2 linked regions of the Rhinolophus ferrumequinum genome follow. The protein of the gene in region 1 binds, or shares a complex with, the protein of each later gene. Links are inferred from orthologs where the notes say so. Each region holds a gene or a part of one and is shown in the gene's direction. Other genes may lie near its edges.

Region 1 (7,517 bases):
CCCTCTCTGTCTCACTGGATCCCCTGTGCCTGTGTCACAGGCTCTCAGTCTCCCCTTCCTAGGTCTTCTCTCTCTGAGTCTCTGTCTCTGTGCCTCTCTTTGGGTTCCCATGTTTGTGGGTGTGTCTCTTTCAGTCTCTGTCTCTCTTGCTATCTCTCTCTGTCTCTGGGTCTCTTTCTTTCAGGCCTCCTCTCAGCAGTCCTGAATCTCAGGAGGCCATCTCAACCTCCCATTTCTGGCATCAGTCTTCGTGGGGCGCCCCCTCTTTCCATCCCTCTCTGCCTCATTTCTCCTGCACCATCTGCTGCCACTCCAGGCCCCTGCCTGCTCCCACACGCTCTGCTTGGCCAGGCAGCCCCATGGGGAGGCACAGGCCCTCCAGCTTCCTCCCCACCACTGCATCCTGAAGTGGGGGTGCACGGCCTGGTCATTGCTGGGGTGGGGGCAAGGGGACAACAGCCTGGAAACCCAGGGCCAGAGGCAATGGAGAGAGAGAAACAGATAGGCACCCAGCAAGAAGATGGGAAAAAAAGGAGAAGAGAAAGGAGAAAGTGTAAAGAGAGGCAAAAACAGGCTGATCTCAGTATGAGAGAGAGCAAAAGAAATAAGCAGAGGAGCAGAATGAAACTGGAGGAAAGAGAAAAGACAGCTCTGCAAGCAAGAGAGGAAGATAGACAAACTGAGGGGGGTCTTGGAGAAAAGAAGGAAGGAGAAATTCAGATCAAAGAGAGAGAGAGAGAGAGAGGGTGGCCTGGATAGAAATGGACAACAGAGAGAGAAGGGCAGAGGAGAGGGCACAGTTGCTTCTCTACCTGCAGTTTCCGGAAGCTCTGAGCACAAGAACTACGGAATTCTCTCCAAAGATCCAAAGAGTGCCCGTGTGGCCGTGCTGCCCTCTCCCCAGACGCTGGGAGACTGAAGAGGACCCAGGAGGGCTGACGGGCAGGGGGCCACTCAGGGACCTGGGCATCTCCCCTCCTGCCCTCCATGCCCCCCCCCCCAGTGCTATTCTGCCCTGTGTTTTCCTGGAGGGGCTGATGGGGGTGGTGCTGAGGGGTTATGAGCCATGGCTCCTGACTCGGTCGTCTCTCCTAAGACCTCATCTTTCAGGCTCTCTCTCCCTTCACCCTCCCCATCTTCATCTCTCAATATCTCTGTCTCTCCGTTTATACCTCTTCTCTGTCTCTCTCCCTCTCTTGGTCCGTTTTTTCTCTCCTAGTTTCTCTCTCTCCATTTCTCCTTATTTCTGTCTCTTTCGAATTCTTTTCATTTGTCTCTCTTGGTCTGTCTCCTCCTCTTGGTCTCTCTCGTCTCTGTCTCTTCCTGTCTCTGTTTGTCTTCGATCTTTCTTGGTTTCTTTTCCTGTCTCTCTCACCACCTCAATTCCCTTCCTCTGCTTCTCCCTCCCTTCTTTTCTCTCCCCTCCTCCATTCCAGCCTTTCCCCCTCCACCTTCCCAGTCCCACCAGAGAGACCCCTAGGCCCTCTGGGGGCCAAGGAGAGACTCCCTCCCAATCCCAGCCTCTCCCCGAGGTGCCGAGGTGCTGGGCAATCTCTGACCCCTTTCCCTCTCCCCGTGAACTGAGCCTTTCCCAGGACCCAAAGGGCGCCAGGAATGTAGGGCAGAGAGCAGGGAGGCCAGCTGGAGGCCAGGAAGCCAGGACCCCCCCAAGTCACTCCCCTCCCCCAACTTGTCTCCTTTTGGTGCTGGACCTCACGCCATCCCTTACTCCCTGCCCCTCCTGGAGCCTCTGGGCCTCAGTTTCTCCTCTGCAAAATGGGCAGACTGGCCTCTGACCCACTTATCTTATAAGTCTCAGGGGAGTGTGTGCTCACAAATGTTAATAGCATGATTAATGTGCATGAATTGGTGGTTTGTGTTAAAGGGGGATGAGAGTACTGAGAGCTGGGACTCCCTGTCTAAGTCCTACCTCTTACATGTACAGATGTGCCCCATATTTTAGGGCAAAGGAAGAGACTGGAAGTGGAGATTGTGAGGTGTGTGAGTCAGTGTGATTGTGGCCATGAGACCATGTGAGGCTGTGGGTTTGTGTGTGATTGGGGGATGTTGGTATGTGATCCCGTGTGCCTTGTGCGTGCGGGTGAGTCTGTGATGGAGAGAGTGGTATATCTGTACAACCATGGCACTTGATGTGACTGTGAGGGTGACAGTGTGACAAGGTGACGTTGGGAGCCTGTGAAAGTGTGTGCCTCAGTGATGGGGAATGTGTGTTGTTGGGATGTGACTGTAGACCCTGTAGGTGATTATGTGAAGTGTGAAACAATGTGTGTGGTTGTGTAACATTGTGTGTAGCCTTCAGATTGTGTCATTAAAGGAGTATATCGGGGTGGCTGATTAGCTCAGTTGGTTAGAGCATGGGGTTAATAACAACGTTGCCAGTATGATCCCCACATGGGCCACTGTGAGCTGCGCCCTTCTTAAATTAAAAAAAAAAAAAAAGGAGTATATGACTATGTGAGAAACCATATAACTGTTCATTTATCTCATCAACAGTCATTCTTTGAGCCTTTCTGCTGTGCCCAAACCTGTGCTGAATGACGCTGAAGACCCAGTGGTGACAGAGACGCCCTGGCCCTGTCTTCACAGGGCACACAGGCCAGTGGGGGAGACAGCTGGTGATGTGACCTCCATGAATGTGTGATTGACACAATATCACTGGAACTATGGAACGTTGTGATTGTGTCACTGTGTGAGTGGAGGAGTCCACGCCCCATATATGTTGCTGTGTGTCATTGTGAATGACTGTCAACCTTTGGGTGAGAGACCTTGGCTCTCTGGGTGTGACTGTAGCTTGTATGACTATGAATGACTGTGAGGAACAGTCTGTGAGATTCTGTTCTGAGCCTCTCTGTGGCTAAGTGAATGGGATTATATGTGACACTGTGCCTGTGACTGACTGCGTGACTGCTTGCAGCTCTGTGGGCGATGGCTGGGTGGGACACTATGAGAGACTGTGTATTGGGGGGATCCTTAGGATGATGACTCCGTGACTGCTCTCCCACGTGATCTTGAGTGACTGTGATACTCACAAGTGACTGGCCCCCTGCTCTGGGTCTTTGCCCCAGAGCTCCCCCCTTCCTTCCCTGGCCCGCCCTGGCCCCGCCCCCTCCCACCACCACAGGCTGTCACCTATTCCAGAGCCCAGGCGAGACAGTGGAGGCAGCAGCGGAGGCAGCCGCAGGACAGGTGAGGGCTCTCCCTATCCTAGCCCCCATGTCCCCCTCAAGTCTCTGGGTCCCTATCTTTCTCTCTGTTTCTTAGCCTGTGACTATGTCTTTCTGTCTCTCTGTGCCCACAATCTCTTCCTCCTCTCTGTCTCTGTCTCCCAATTCCTTTCTTTTTTTCAGTGTTCACAAGATGACCATTCACTTTATTAATTTTCAAATTATCAAGCCCAAAACAATGTCCACATAAGTTATTAGTCAAGCCGTTGTTTCTCAGCCTAGTTGTGTAGGACCCAGCTCCCTGGCCCATGCTGGTGTTATGAGCCTTGCGCTCCCCCCTGGCTGAGGCAGTCGGTTGCCTGTCGTCGGTCAACAACTGCTCACAGCAGCTCACGGCAGCTCTCGCCGGCTGCCGGCCATCCCAATTTCTATTTAGTCTCTTGATAGCTCTGTACCTCCATCTCTCTTTCCTCCATTTTCTGTGTCTCTCTCCCATGTCTCTCTTCTCTTTGTCTCCTAGCCCACATTTCTGCCTCTGTCTTTCGGTTTCTGGTCTCTTGCTGTGCGTCTCTTCTATCTCCATGTATCTCTGTCTCTATATTTCTGTCTCATGCATCTCTGACTTCGCGTCTGTCTTTCTGGGGCTCCATGTGAGATCCTGCCGGCCCCCGCTTTCCCTGCATGGTGCTAGATGGGGGGTGTTGGGAGTTAGACCAATGTCCAGACATATGGGTCCCTACAAACCTAAGCCCAGGGTCTGACGCCTCTCTAGTCGCTAAGGAGAGGGTTGTCCAATCCACTCAGGCTTTATCCACAGCGAGGAAAGTTTATAAGGTCGGGTTCCTATCTGCGATTTGAAAACCCTTTGGGCTCGGAGAGTGGGAACTCCGAGGGTCATTTCCATGCCTGACGGTTTCTGTGCCCTCCTTTCCAAGATGGTCCCCAGGTTCCCCGTAGTCTCTAGGTCTAGACTCCCTCTGACATTAGTGCTTCCGCCCAGTGCAGCTCTAGGGCAACCGCGCCCTCAGCAAACACCCCCCCTTCCACAGCCGCTGCTCCAGAAACAGCTGGGGGTGAGCCCCGGAATCACGTGTCGAATCCCAGCCTCGCCCCCTCCTCACGCGTCTCTCCCCCCAAATTCTCACGTGTGTGGACAGCGGGGGGCGCTGGCTCTGAGTCCGCGTGTATGAATTCCGGAGCCGAGTGGCTCTAGGGCGGAGGGCAGAGGCTCCGGATTTTGCTCTTGGACCCTCCAGGCCGAGCTGCTCCCCCGTCCGAAGGACCGAACCTCCTCGCTCCCCATGCCCCGCCGCCCTCACGATGACCAACTGCCCGTCCTGGCGGCTGCTACTGCTGTTCTCGCTGTGGGGACCACTGCTCTGGATGGCAGAGGTGAGGACTCGAGTTGCTATAGGAGTTCAAGGCTTGGAGGGAGATTTGGGGGCGGTTTTAAGTCTTGCCCCACTGCCGAGAGAGTTTTAAGACTGCCCCACTTGCCAAGATTCAAGTTTTGATGGTTGTTTCTCTAGTCTCTCTTCTTTCGCCCTCAAATCCTCCTGATGATTTCCAGCCACTCCCCTAATTTTCCTGGAGGTGTTCAGTCCCCCACAGCAACTCCCCTGGTGGTTTCTAGGTACCCCACAAGAGTTAGAAGAGGTTTCTCAGCCACCCAAGACTGGGCAAAGCGAACAGCCCCCCCTCTAAGTCCCTCTCGGGTGTCTGGCCCACACCATCTGGGAGCGGGTGTCGGTCGGGGGGGTCCTCCCTTCTTTCTTTCCGTAGACAGGCTCTGAGGGGCAGACGGCGGGGGAGCTGTACCAGCGCTGGGAACGCTACCGCAGGGAGTGCCAGGAGACGCTGGAGACAGCGGAGTCCCCAGCGGGTAGGAGTGGGGAAGGGGTGGGCTGGGTGGATGGGAAGGGCTGGGGCTGAGAGGGGTGGGCTTGGGGCGGGCCTAGGACTAACGGGCGGGGCCTGAGAGAGGAGATGTCTGGGGTAGATGCGGGCTGGGTTGGAGAGGCCTGGGTGGGCTTGGCCTCGGTGGGAAAGACTTAGAGCTGAGAGCGTGGGGTCTGGGGAGAAACTCGGATTAGTGGGAGAGGCCTGGAAAGAAGCTTGAAATGGGCAGGGTTTTGGGTCGGGCTGCACTGAATGGGTAGAGCCTGAAATGAAGCGCGAAGGGGGTGGGGCTTGGGGTGGAGCCTAGGAAGGGCCTCGCAGAGTGGGAAGCACGTGCACTGGGAACTTGCATGGGGTGGGGGCAGAGCCGAGAGTGAGGCTGGAAGGATGGGCGCGGCCTCGGGGTGCGATGGACAGAGCTGTGGAGAAGCAGGGATGGACCACTCTAGGTGGGCGGGGCTAGGGCCGGGCTTGTTGTGTGTAAGGTGGGGAGAAGCGTTGGGCTCAGGGTGCAGTAGGTCCCCCGACATCTGACCCCCACGCCCACCCCAGGCCTCGCCTGCAACGGGTCCTTCGACATGTACGTCTGCTGGGACTACGCTGCACCTAACGCCACTGCCCGTGCGTCTTGCCCCTGGTACCTGCCCTGGTATCGCCATGGTGAGTGGCCCCCAGGCTCTCCCTGAAACAAACAGCTCCTAACTCTTGCCCCAGACACCACTCCCTCAAAGCTCACCTACACCCCATCTCCTGCTCCTCTCTGTCTGGGTGTTTCCTCCTGTATGTCCAACCCTGGCTGGGTCACCCTGATCCTGGCTCTGTCACCTAATGCCCCTCCTCTGTCTCTGTCTCTGTATCTCTGAGGACCACCGGGTTCTTACTTTCTCTTTTCTGAGTCTGTCTCTGGGCATCCTGGTCTTCCTGTCCTAACTAGCTATGTGGCCCAGGACAGTTTATTTAACTTCTTTATGCCTCAACCTCCTCATCTGTAAAATGGGATTGATGACAGTACCTATTCCATGGGCTTCTTATGAATATTAATTAATACGTGTAAAATGCTATATGAGGGTTTTTATCATCACCATCACTTTGGCTCTCTCTCTCTCTCTCTCTCTCTCTCTGCCTTTTTATCACAGTTGGTCTTTCTGTCTCCATCTCTTTCTCTGTGCCTCTGATCCCCTACAGTGGCTGCGGGCTTTGTCCTCCGCCAGTGTGGCAGTGATGGCCAATGGGGACCTTGGAGAGACCATTCTCAGTGTGAGAACCCAGAGAAGAATGAGACCTTTCAGGTAAAAATAGGTTAGAGATTCAGATTGAACATCCAAGGAAAGGTGAAAAGGCAGCATCCTCATACCGAGCCTGAAACCCCTTGTACTGTTCAGAGCTCTGGGTTCCAAGGGACAGAAACTCAACTTAAACTTGCTTGATGATGGAGAAAAAAATGTACTGGCTTCTGTGATTGAAAAGTAGAAGGCTACAGCCTCAGGCACAGCTGGATCTAGGTGCTCAAATGATGTCAGGAATCTCTTGTCTCTCACCATATCATGCCTGTTTTTTCTGTTCTGGCCTCATCTTTTCTGTGGGGTGGAAAAGGTGTTCCCCATTAGCACCAGGCTCACATCCCACCAACCAAGCGACACTGCGGAGATTGAACTTCGTTCTCAATAGCTCCAGCATAATAATGTCCCAGGACTGACTCTTATTGGCCTGGTTTGGGTCATATGCCCACCCTGGACTAATCACTCTGTGTGTGTGTGTGTGTGTGTGTGTGTGTGTGTGTGTGTGTGACATGGCGATGGGGACGTGGGGGGGTAGATATAATGCTCTGATTGGCTGGTCACATATCCAGCCCTGGAGCTGAGTGGTAAAGTCAGTCCCACTCAAATAAGAGTAGCTGGATCCCTGAGAGAAAATTGGGGTGCTGGGCAAGAACAAAGAGCAGAAGAGACAGGATAGGAGAGGCTAACTGGTGGGGGAGGATTTGGTAGATACCTAGCCCCTTCTGGTCCTGGGGGAAGAGCTGAGCTCTGTGCCTTTGTCCCCCACCCCCACAGGACCAAAGGCTGATCTTGGAACGGCTACAGATTGTGTACACTGTCGGCTATTCCCTGTCACTGGCCACACTGCTGCTGGCCCTGCTCATCTTGAGTTTCTTCAGGTGGGACACCCCAGCCTGGAGCGGCAGCGGCAGTGACTGGGCCCCACTTTGCCCAGTAAGATGGAATGGTCAGACTCCACCATCAACAAGCACCCAATGGTGGTTCTGTGGGAAGACGGGCCATGAGGTGGTTTAAGGGGCTCTAGATAGTGGGGACAGGTCTCCAGGGGTCTCCAGACTGCTTCCCAAACCCCGCAGGCGGCTGCACTGCACTCGCAACTACGTCCACATCAACCTGTTCACATCTTTCATGCTGCGGGCGGCAGCCATCCTCA
Region 2 (7,533 bases), on another chromosome or scaffold:
ATGGGCTGTCACCTCTGGATTTAAATTTTTAAAGACATTTAGGCTTTCATCGTGGTCCATACCCTTGCTCTGGGGAAGAAGCCACGTGGTGAGCAGCCCTGTGGAGAGACCCACATGGTGAGGAACTGAAGCTCTCAGCCTCCATGCGTAAGAGTGAGCTAAAAAGGTGGTCTACAGTGTGGGAGGGGCTTGCTGAGATTGCAGCTCAGCTGACAGCTCCCTGAGACTCGGTGAGAGACCCTGAGCCAGAACCACCCGCTACACCCCTCCCAGATTCCTGAGCCTCCGAAACTGAGATAATAAATGTTCCTCATTTTAAGCTGCTAAAATTTGGAGTTATTTGTTATGCTACAAAAGAAAAGTAATGTATCAAGATCTAATATAACATAGTGTATCTTCTAAGTATACATGATTCCCAGATCAATTTTTTGAGGCAGGAACTATTACCTCCCTCCTTTTACAGAAAGGGAAACCGAAGCACAGAGACGGTAAACTGCTTTAATCACCCTCCTAGTCAGCATAGGTGGATCAGTCTCCAAAGCCTTCACTCCTAATATGGAATTTCACAGCCTTCCATGTCCCAGGTGCTGGGCTGAGTCAGCCTGGCTTTAGTATTTCATCTTATTTAATTCTCATCATAGAGTGAGATGGAGGAGATCACTCCAGAGAAAACCACCAGCCAGCACTCTGGCAGGACGCCTTAAAGTTAACAAGACACTAACTTCACACTTACCTATGAGGTAGGCAGGGCAGATTTGTGTTCTTATTCCCGGTTTAAAGATGGCCAAGCTAAGGCTTAGAGTGGATAAGGGTTTTGCCCAAAGCTGAGCATAACTCAGGAGTGGTGCGTGGGTGGGTGGCGCTGGGGTTTGAATCCTCCTCCTTCTCTTTCTTCACCCCACCGGGCGACTCCCTAATCTAATTAACGGGGTTGGGGGTGGGGAATGTTTTCTGAAGTTGCAGAAGGCCTTCCCCATACCCACTGCAAGAATGTGTATGTGTATCTTGGGAGTTCATTGGTGACCCTAGAAACTGCTCCACTGGGGACCCTGAAACTGTTCCATCCTCATATCCCCTTGCAAGGAAAAGGAAGGGAAAGCCCTCCCTTCTTACTCCTCTCTTCCTTTCCCTCGGATGTGCTCCCAACTAGAAGAGAGCTCAGGAATGCTGCCCAGCCCTTCGGCCTTTTATCCTAAATGTATCACCAGTTCTTTCCTTCCCCACAATGAGAACTTTGTGAATACTCCCCCCAGCTCTAACTGTGCACTGCTCTTCTCCTCCCATGGATTAGGCTGCAACTACTAAGCGCCAACCTCTTTTTCTTGACAAAAGCAAACAAAATAGCCTTTGAAAATAGCAAGAGGGATTGAGGGTAGAATTGAGAGGGAACTTCCAAACTGCTTCCTGTAGCAGATGGCCAAAAGAAGCTGTAGGTAGTATATTCTTTCTTGAAGATCCTTCTGGAAAGTTGGATCTTCCATGAATGGTAGGGGGGCTGGTATGGGAAAAAATGTTTGGGATCATGACTATGTGATGTGTTTGGGGAGGAAAGGCTGCAGGTAGTCCTTCTAGGAATCAGGATGGACCAGATGACTCAGCAAAGTTTGTGAGGGTTCGAGTTCTTGTCTCTTCTACAGGAGAGAATAAATCTGCCACCTGTTGTAAGAGAGATCAGAGAGGGGTGTCTGCGCTCTGAGTCAGCCAGGGAGCATGAAGACCAAGTGAACTTCAAAAGCAGAGTCCATGGCAGGGAGACTGAAGCCAGCCTTCTGAGTCACCCTCTCCTGGCTGCAGAGCTCAGCCTGGAATGTCTACAGTGGTCCTGTCAGCCTGGGGGGTGGTGACTCACCATCTTGAGCTGGAAGAGCCAGCAAGTCCCAAAGGCTCTCCTGCTGTGACAGTTCTCATTCCTGGGGCCTCAATTCAGAAGCCAGGAGGGTCTGGAGAGCAGGAGCCTGGGTTCTCTTGCAGCAGTACTGCCGTCACTCCCTCACCACACAGACTCCCTGACTTCTAGGACTCCTCAGACATTTCCCGAACCATGCCCCACAACGCTTTCCACCTGTCTGGGCCGGCAGCCTTTGTATCTGGGCTTTGGGCCAATTGGGGGTGTTCTCCTGCCTCCCCATCCCTCCTGTCCTCTCTGACCCCTCACATCCTGGAAATTCTCCGCTGTGGACTGGGGCTCTGCCCCCTCCTGAGCTTCCCCTCCCCACCCTACCCTTGCACTGCACTGGATTCTGCACACCAGGGCACTTTTCATGGCGGCACGGACTGGCTGACCAAGGCACCAGTGGGATTTCCTAAACTATTTTGATCAAGTCCAGCTTCCCAAGGCCATTATTGCCATTCCTGAGCCTCCCAATATGCCTTGTGGGGGACCTGTGGGTTCCCTGGGAGTTTAGCATTTTCTCTGATCTCCACATCCCTCCCTCCCCCAGGGCCCTGGCCACATTCTTCGTAGTCTGTCCACTGCATGGCATGAGAACCAGAGATCAAAAGGAAACAGGGAGGGGAGCTGCAGAGAGTTCCCCTCCAAGAGGTTAAGTGGGGACTTAAAGCACACTGGCCTTCAGAGCAGCCCACCCCCCAAAACAAATCCGTAGAGCCCCAGCCAGAGGCTCAGGACTGCCAGGGCCCACCACACGATCTTCTTTACTCTGGTTTGACATCAGACTTAGGGATCCCAGGAAATGATGTCCACCCTTCTTGCACACCTTCTGCCTCCAGGGTTTTGACGTAAACCCTTCTGAGCCCATTAACTATATTGCTCAACAGGAAGCAGGATCACAAGCAGCCCCCAACATCCCCTTTGGAGGCCAAATCTGAATGGATCTCTAATCTCTACCCGTTGATAGCTAGGAGATGGAATTTGGAGAGCCTGCCCAGAGAGAAGCTTTTCTACGTGGTGAAAAATGGGTGGTGTGCGGGCGAGGTCTCTAGGAAGCAGAGGTGAATTGCCCTCCTACTCTGGTTGCCTCTCATCCCACACAAGCACTTAATTTCATGCTGGAGCTGATCCCAGGCTGGGGAGTTCACCTGGAAAGGAAAGTGGCCTTTATTAGTCCCTGGAGCTATCCTGTTTCCCCGAAAATAAGACCTAGCAGGACAATCAGCTCTAATGTGTCTTTTGGAGCAAAAATTAATATACGACCCAGTATATTTTATTATATTATATTACATTATATTATATATTATATTATATTAAAGACCAGGTCTTGTATTATAGTAAAATAAGACTAGGTCTTATACTAATTTTTGCTCCAAAAGACACATTAGAGCTGATTGTCCGAGTAGGTCTTATTTTCGGGGAAACATGGTAATAGGCAGAACATGAACTTGGCTGTTTATGGTTGAAAGTACCCAGGACAAGCGGAGAAGGGAGAGCCTGCGAAGGAGGCATTGGGAGTCCACCAAAAATGCAGTCTGTGCTCTGCACCTTCTAGACTGAGAGCCGCTGTACTAAGTACTAAATACTTGTAGGAAGGCAAAGGGAGCAGCACCCAAGTGAGTCTCCAGGCTGAGGGGCAGACACAGCCCTTAGCCTCAGGAAGCCTCTGTAGGATGGAGAAGATCTAGCCCCTAGCTCACACCCCTGCTCTCAGAGAGCCCCCAGTCTGATCAAGGCGACGAAGTCCTTGCCCTGGAGAGCCCTCCAGTCTGACAGGCAAAACACGACCTCAGTGGTCCCCAGAGACCGGACCACCGATTTCTCTTATATAGGACAGTAGTGCATTTGGAGAGGATTAGATCTCATAAATCTTTACAGATAAATAGAGTTATAGCTGCCCCACCTTCTTCTGAGTTCCCCAGGTGTAAATGTGCCTCTTTTCCCTACTCTATTCTGCTCCTAAGAAGAAAGACAGCTTGAGTGTAAGTTCTCAGTTCACCTCGTTACCCCAGGGAACCTCCACCTTTCACGTTCCCTCAACCCTCTGCCCTCTCTTTCTTCAGCTTTTTCCACAGCTGGCTGGGACCACCCCCTAGATATCACAATGGGGACATTGCCACATTGCCAGCGCTATGGGCCGCTATCCAGAGCTGAGGTTCAAATGAACGCAGCCCTGCCCACTCCCCCCCAGAAGTAGCCTATTGCCTATGGGAGCGTCTTGCTCCCCCAGTTAGTACCACCCTACCCAAGTCTGCCCTCACTGAAGGTGTCCTTTCTAAAAGAAGAGCGAGACAGAAGAATACTGAGCCCTGTGCCCAGAAGGGAGGAGGGGGAAGAAGAAAAGGGGCACTTAAGGTACCCTACCCACGGGCAGGGCCCAGACAACGGCTGGAAATACCCAAATGTTAATCACCAATTAGCACAGTTCAGGTGAAAAGGGAAACTTTATTACGTGTAAAATGGACTTAATGTGGCGGGAGCTGTGCACTTAATTTCTTGAGATAAGATGCTTTTAGGCTAATCAGCGGGTCTGTGATGCCTGGATATAAAGGAGCTCCAGCAGATTTTTCTTGAGGCAGGTTCCAAAGGGCCAGAAGGTAGGAGGAAGAGATCCCCGCCCTGACCTTCTTCTGGAAGAGCCAGAAAAGGAATCTGGTAAGAGAGCAGCTGGGACAGGGGATGGACAGACACTGGAGAGAAGTGGACTGGGCACCCCTGAGATGCTCGGCACCCTTGCATCTCACTTTCTTTTCCTCTATACAAGAAATAAGAAGTTGGCTCTGATGGTTCGTTTAACACCCAGGTGACGAAGGCAGGAAGATGAAGTCTTGCAGCCTGCTCATCTCTAGTCTAGCTTTGGTTTTTGGGGCTTGGGAAGAAGGTTCTTCACTGCTATTCATCTCTGCTGAAGACCCCCTGGGGCAAGCTCTCGGTAGAAGGGTCAGACTTCAGAAAGAACTTCCTGAGTCGCGATAGAAAAGCCTGGAAAGGGGAGAATGGGATGGTTCTACATGTGGTTTTCACTTAGGGCAAGAGGGCTATGATGATTTAGGTGACAGACAATTTGAGAGCTGGAAAGCTAGCGGGTATGAACTTTGGAGGGCTCTAAGGGGAGAATCTTGCCAAACCACATGCCTGTGATGTCTAGCCATTGGAACCGGGAAGGGGGGCTGCCCAAGCACACGGGTCTTTTCTGCTTTCTTCTGCCTGGATCTCTCCCCCATTGCCCTCTCGGACTCTACTTAAAAACAACAACAACAAAAAGAAGGTTCACCTCTTGGCCAGATTCCATGTTCTTTCTAGTTACCGACACCTCTAATGCTCAGCACCCTTCACCCTCCCCAAGATGCTGCTCCAGCCTCTTAGAAGAGCCCCAAACCTCAGGACTCAGTGTAGCCCAGCTTTCAGCACCCCCACAGGCTCTGAGGCACACCAGCAGTGCGTTGCCGTACTGGCTGCTCCCTCAGCACAGTGCTTCCACCTCATCCTGCTCCTTTTCTCTCTTAGCTCGGGAAACAGTCCTTGGAAGACGGTGGCCATGAAGACATCTCTGCTGCTGGTGTCGCTGCTCCTGGCAGTGGTGTTAGGACAGAAGGAAGAGGGTCACTCCAGGTAGGGGTGAGAAGGGCAGGGGAAGGGCCTGGGGAGATGACTGGGTTCTGGTTTTCAAGGGGGAGGTGAGAAAGGGAGGAACCTCAGGCTAAGATGAAAGAAGCTCGAGGGAAAATCCTGCCAGCAGTCAGAGTGCAAAGCAAGGACGGTACCAGAGAGTACTTATGAGCTACTGTTGCAGCAGGAGAGACTGTGGTTAGATCTCTGGGAGGACTTCTCAGTGGCCAAGTGTCTGAAGTAGATGACAGTATCTCCCTTCCTAATGAAATCCTTCACCATTCATTTATGTGTGCATTGGATCAAATTTTATAGAGGGCTCAGAGGATTTCTGTGGAGTGGTCCATGAAGGTCTCCCGCCCTCATGGAGTGTATAGACCCAAGGGGAAAACAGACAAAGAACCACCTCGCCGCTTTGCAAACTGTCACGATTACTGTGAGGAAAATCAGAGTATTAGGAGGGAATATAGCAAGGGGCTTTGTATTTTGGGGAACCGAGAGAGACTTGTCTGAGTAAAGAATTGGGTCTTCTCAGATGCAAGGCTAAGCCATATGCCTGTGTAAATTCATCGATGTGAACTTGAGGCACGGCTGTCAGAGACATATACGAGGAGAGGCAAGGTCACGTAGAAGTTAACATAGACCTAGGCCAGGCTGCCCACCTATGCTGTGTGCTAAATTAATCTCTCTGCACCCTGGTTTCCTTATTCACTAAAAGAGGTGTAAATAGTGTCTGCCTAAACTAATATAATAGTGAATGTCAATTGCAATTGAACAAAAAAATTAAAAAAGAATAAGGGTGTCGTGAGGATTAGGTGAGTGTGTGTATTAAAGGTTTCCAGGGGCCCTGACTCAGTAAGCGCTATGATAAAAGAGCTCACTATTTAGTGTTCCCTGGGAACCCAAGACCTGAATCAGGTAGGGCCAGGGCAAGAGGAGTATCGGAAGGAGCTATTCAGTCCTTTGGGACAGGAGACCTCCCCCATCCCTCTTTGCCCGGAAGCCAGAGCCACACACTGAGGATACAGGGAGTGGGCCCTAAGCTGAGGATAAAGTCCTGGGGGCTTGATGCATGGACAAGAGGGGGGTTCTCTATAAAAGCAGACTCCCAAGTAACGAGCTGGTTCCTTTTCAGAGGTCGGCCTCCTGTCAGCGACAATCATTTATGCTGGCATTGGGATCCCCTGCACCCCTTCCCTGGCTTCCTGGTTTCTCTCTCTCGCCCCTCCTTGCCCCTCAGATTCCACACTAAGGCTAGCAGCTCCCAACCTCGAGGCCGCAGGTATGCCGAGGGGACTTTCATCAGTGACTACAGCATTGCCATGGACAAGATCCGCCAACAAGATTTTGTGAACTGGCTGCTGGCGCAGAAGGGGAAGAAGAATGCGTGAGTTCCCCTTGCCCAGCTCTACCTTCCGATGTCCAGCCCAGGTGTCCATTGTGGCCACACAGCCGTGTGATGCACACTCCAGGTGGCGCCTTTCGATTAGGCGACGATGGGCAGCTGGACATCATGGTGGCCCTGGTTTGGGCAGCAGTCCAGTCTAGGGGCAGGACTAGGGCAATTTCCAACTCTTTTCTTCTAAGGGGAGAGGTTGGAGAAGATGTGTTGGGCTCACAGAAGATCCCCAGGGATTGGGGATAAAGGCAATGGACTTTATCCAATGACAATGCTGCCAATGACTTTTTGGTGGTGGCCACTTCAGACTTGGGAATAGGATAAACTGCCCTCATCCTACTTCCTTCTCTTTCCCTGCCCACGCCGTTTGGTCAGCATGGTAGATTCTGAAAAGCTGTTCACTAGCAGCTGAAGATGAGTAGTGGGGAGGTTGACTGGAGAAGGAGGTACCTTCTGCTCTTTGGGTTGATGTACCAAAAGATTCCAGCATCTATGGACTGGGGAACATCTGGCATGGCCCCCAACCCCACTCACGCCCTAATCTTTATCTTACCAGCTGGAAACACAACATCACGCAGAGGGAGGCCCAGGTCCTAGAGCTGGCCCATCAATCTAACAGGAAGAAGGAGACCAG

Evidence for each region. The genes of interacting proteins can lie anywhere in the genome.
Region 2: the proteins of GIPR (region 1) and GIP are in contact, whole or in part, in a cryo-EM structure (PDB 7RA3), measured with the Homo sapiens proteins. The link is inferred for Rhinolophus ferrumequinum from reciprocal best matches to the Homo sapiens genes GIPR and GIP. Residues at the interface, in NP_000155.1 of Homo sapiens: Gln30, Thr31, Ala32, Leu35, Tyr36, Trp39, Tyr68, Trp71, Leu88, Trp90, Arg101, Arg113, His115, Asn120, Gln130, Arg131, Leu134, Glu135, Leu137, Gln138, Tyr141, Tyr145, Arg183, Ile187, Arg190, Asp191, Pro197, Gly198, Pro199, Tyr200; in NP_004114.1 of Homo sapiens: Tyr52, Ala53, Glu54, Gly55, Thr56, Phe57, Ile58, Ser59, Asp60, Tyr61, Ser62, Ile63, Ala64, Met65, Asp66, Lys67, Ile68, His69, Gln70, Gln71, Phe73, Val74, Trp76, Leu77, Leu78, Lys81.

The regions. Positions count from the first base shown.
Region 1 is NC_046298.1:41,979,519-41,987,035, forward strand, and holds the start of GIPR (gastric inhibitory polypeptide receptor), read left to right. Parts: upstream 1-4,498; 5' UTR 4,499-4,505; coding exon 4,506-4,577; intron 4,578-4,967; coding exon 4,968-5,067; intron 5,068-5,636; coding exon 5,637-5,744; intron 5,745-6,269; coding exon 6,270-6,373; intron 6,374-7,138; coding exon 7,139-7,242; intron 7,243-7,440; coding exon 7,441-7,517. UniProt on the Homo sapiens protein: This is a receptor for GIP. The activity of this receptor is mediated by G proteins which activate adenylyl cyclase.
Region 2 is NC_046304.1:34,201,426-34,208,958, forward strand, and holds the start of GIP (gastric inhibitory polypeptide), read left to right. Parts: upstream 1-4,524; 5' UTR 4,525-4,546; intron 4,547-5,398; 5' UTR 5,399-5,429; coding exon 5,430-5,503; intron 5,504-6,740; coding exon 6,741-6,887; intron 6,888-7,455; coding exon 7,456-7,533. UniProt on the Homo sapiens protein: Potent stimulator of insulin secretion and relatively poor inhibitor of gastric acid secretion.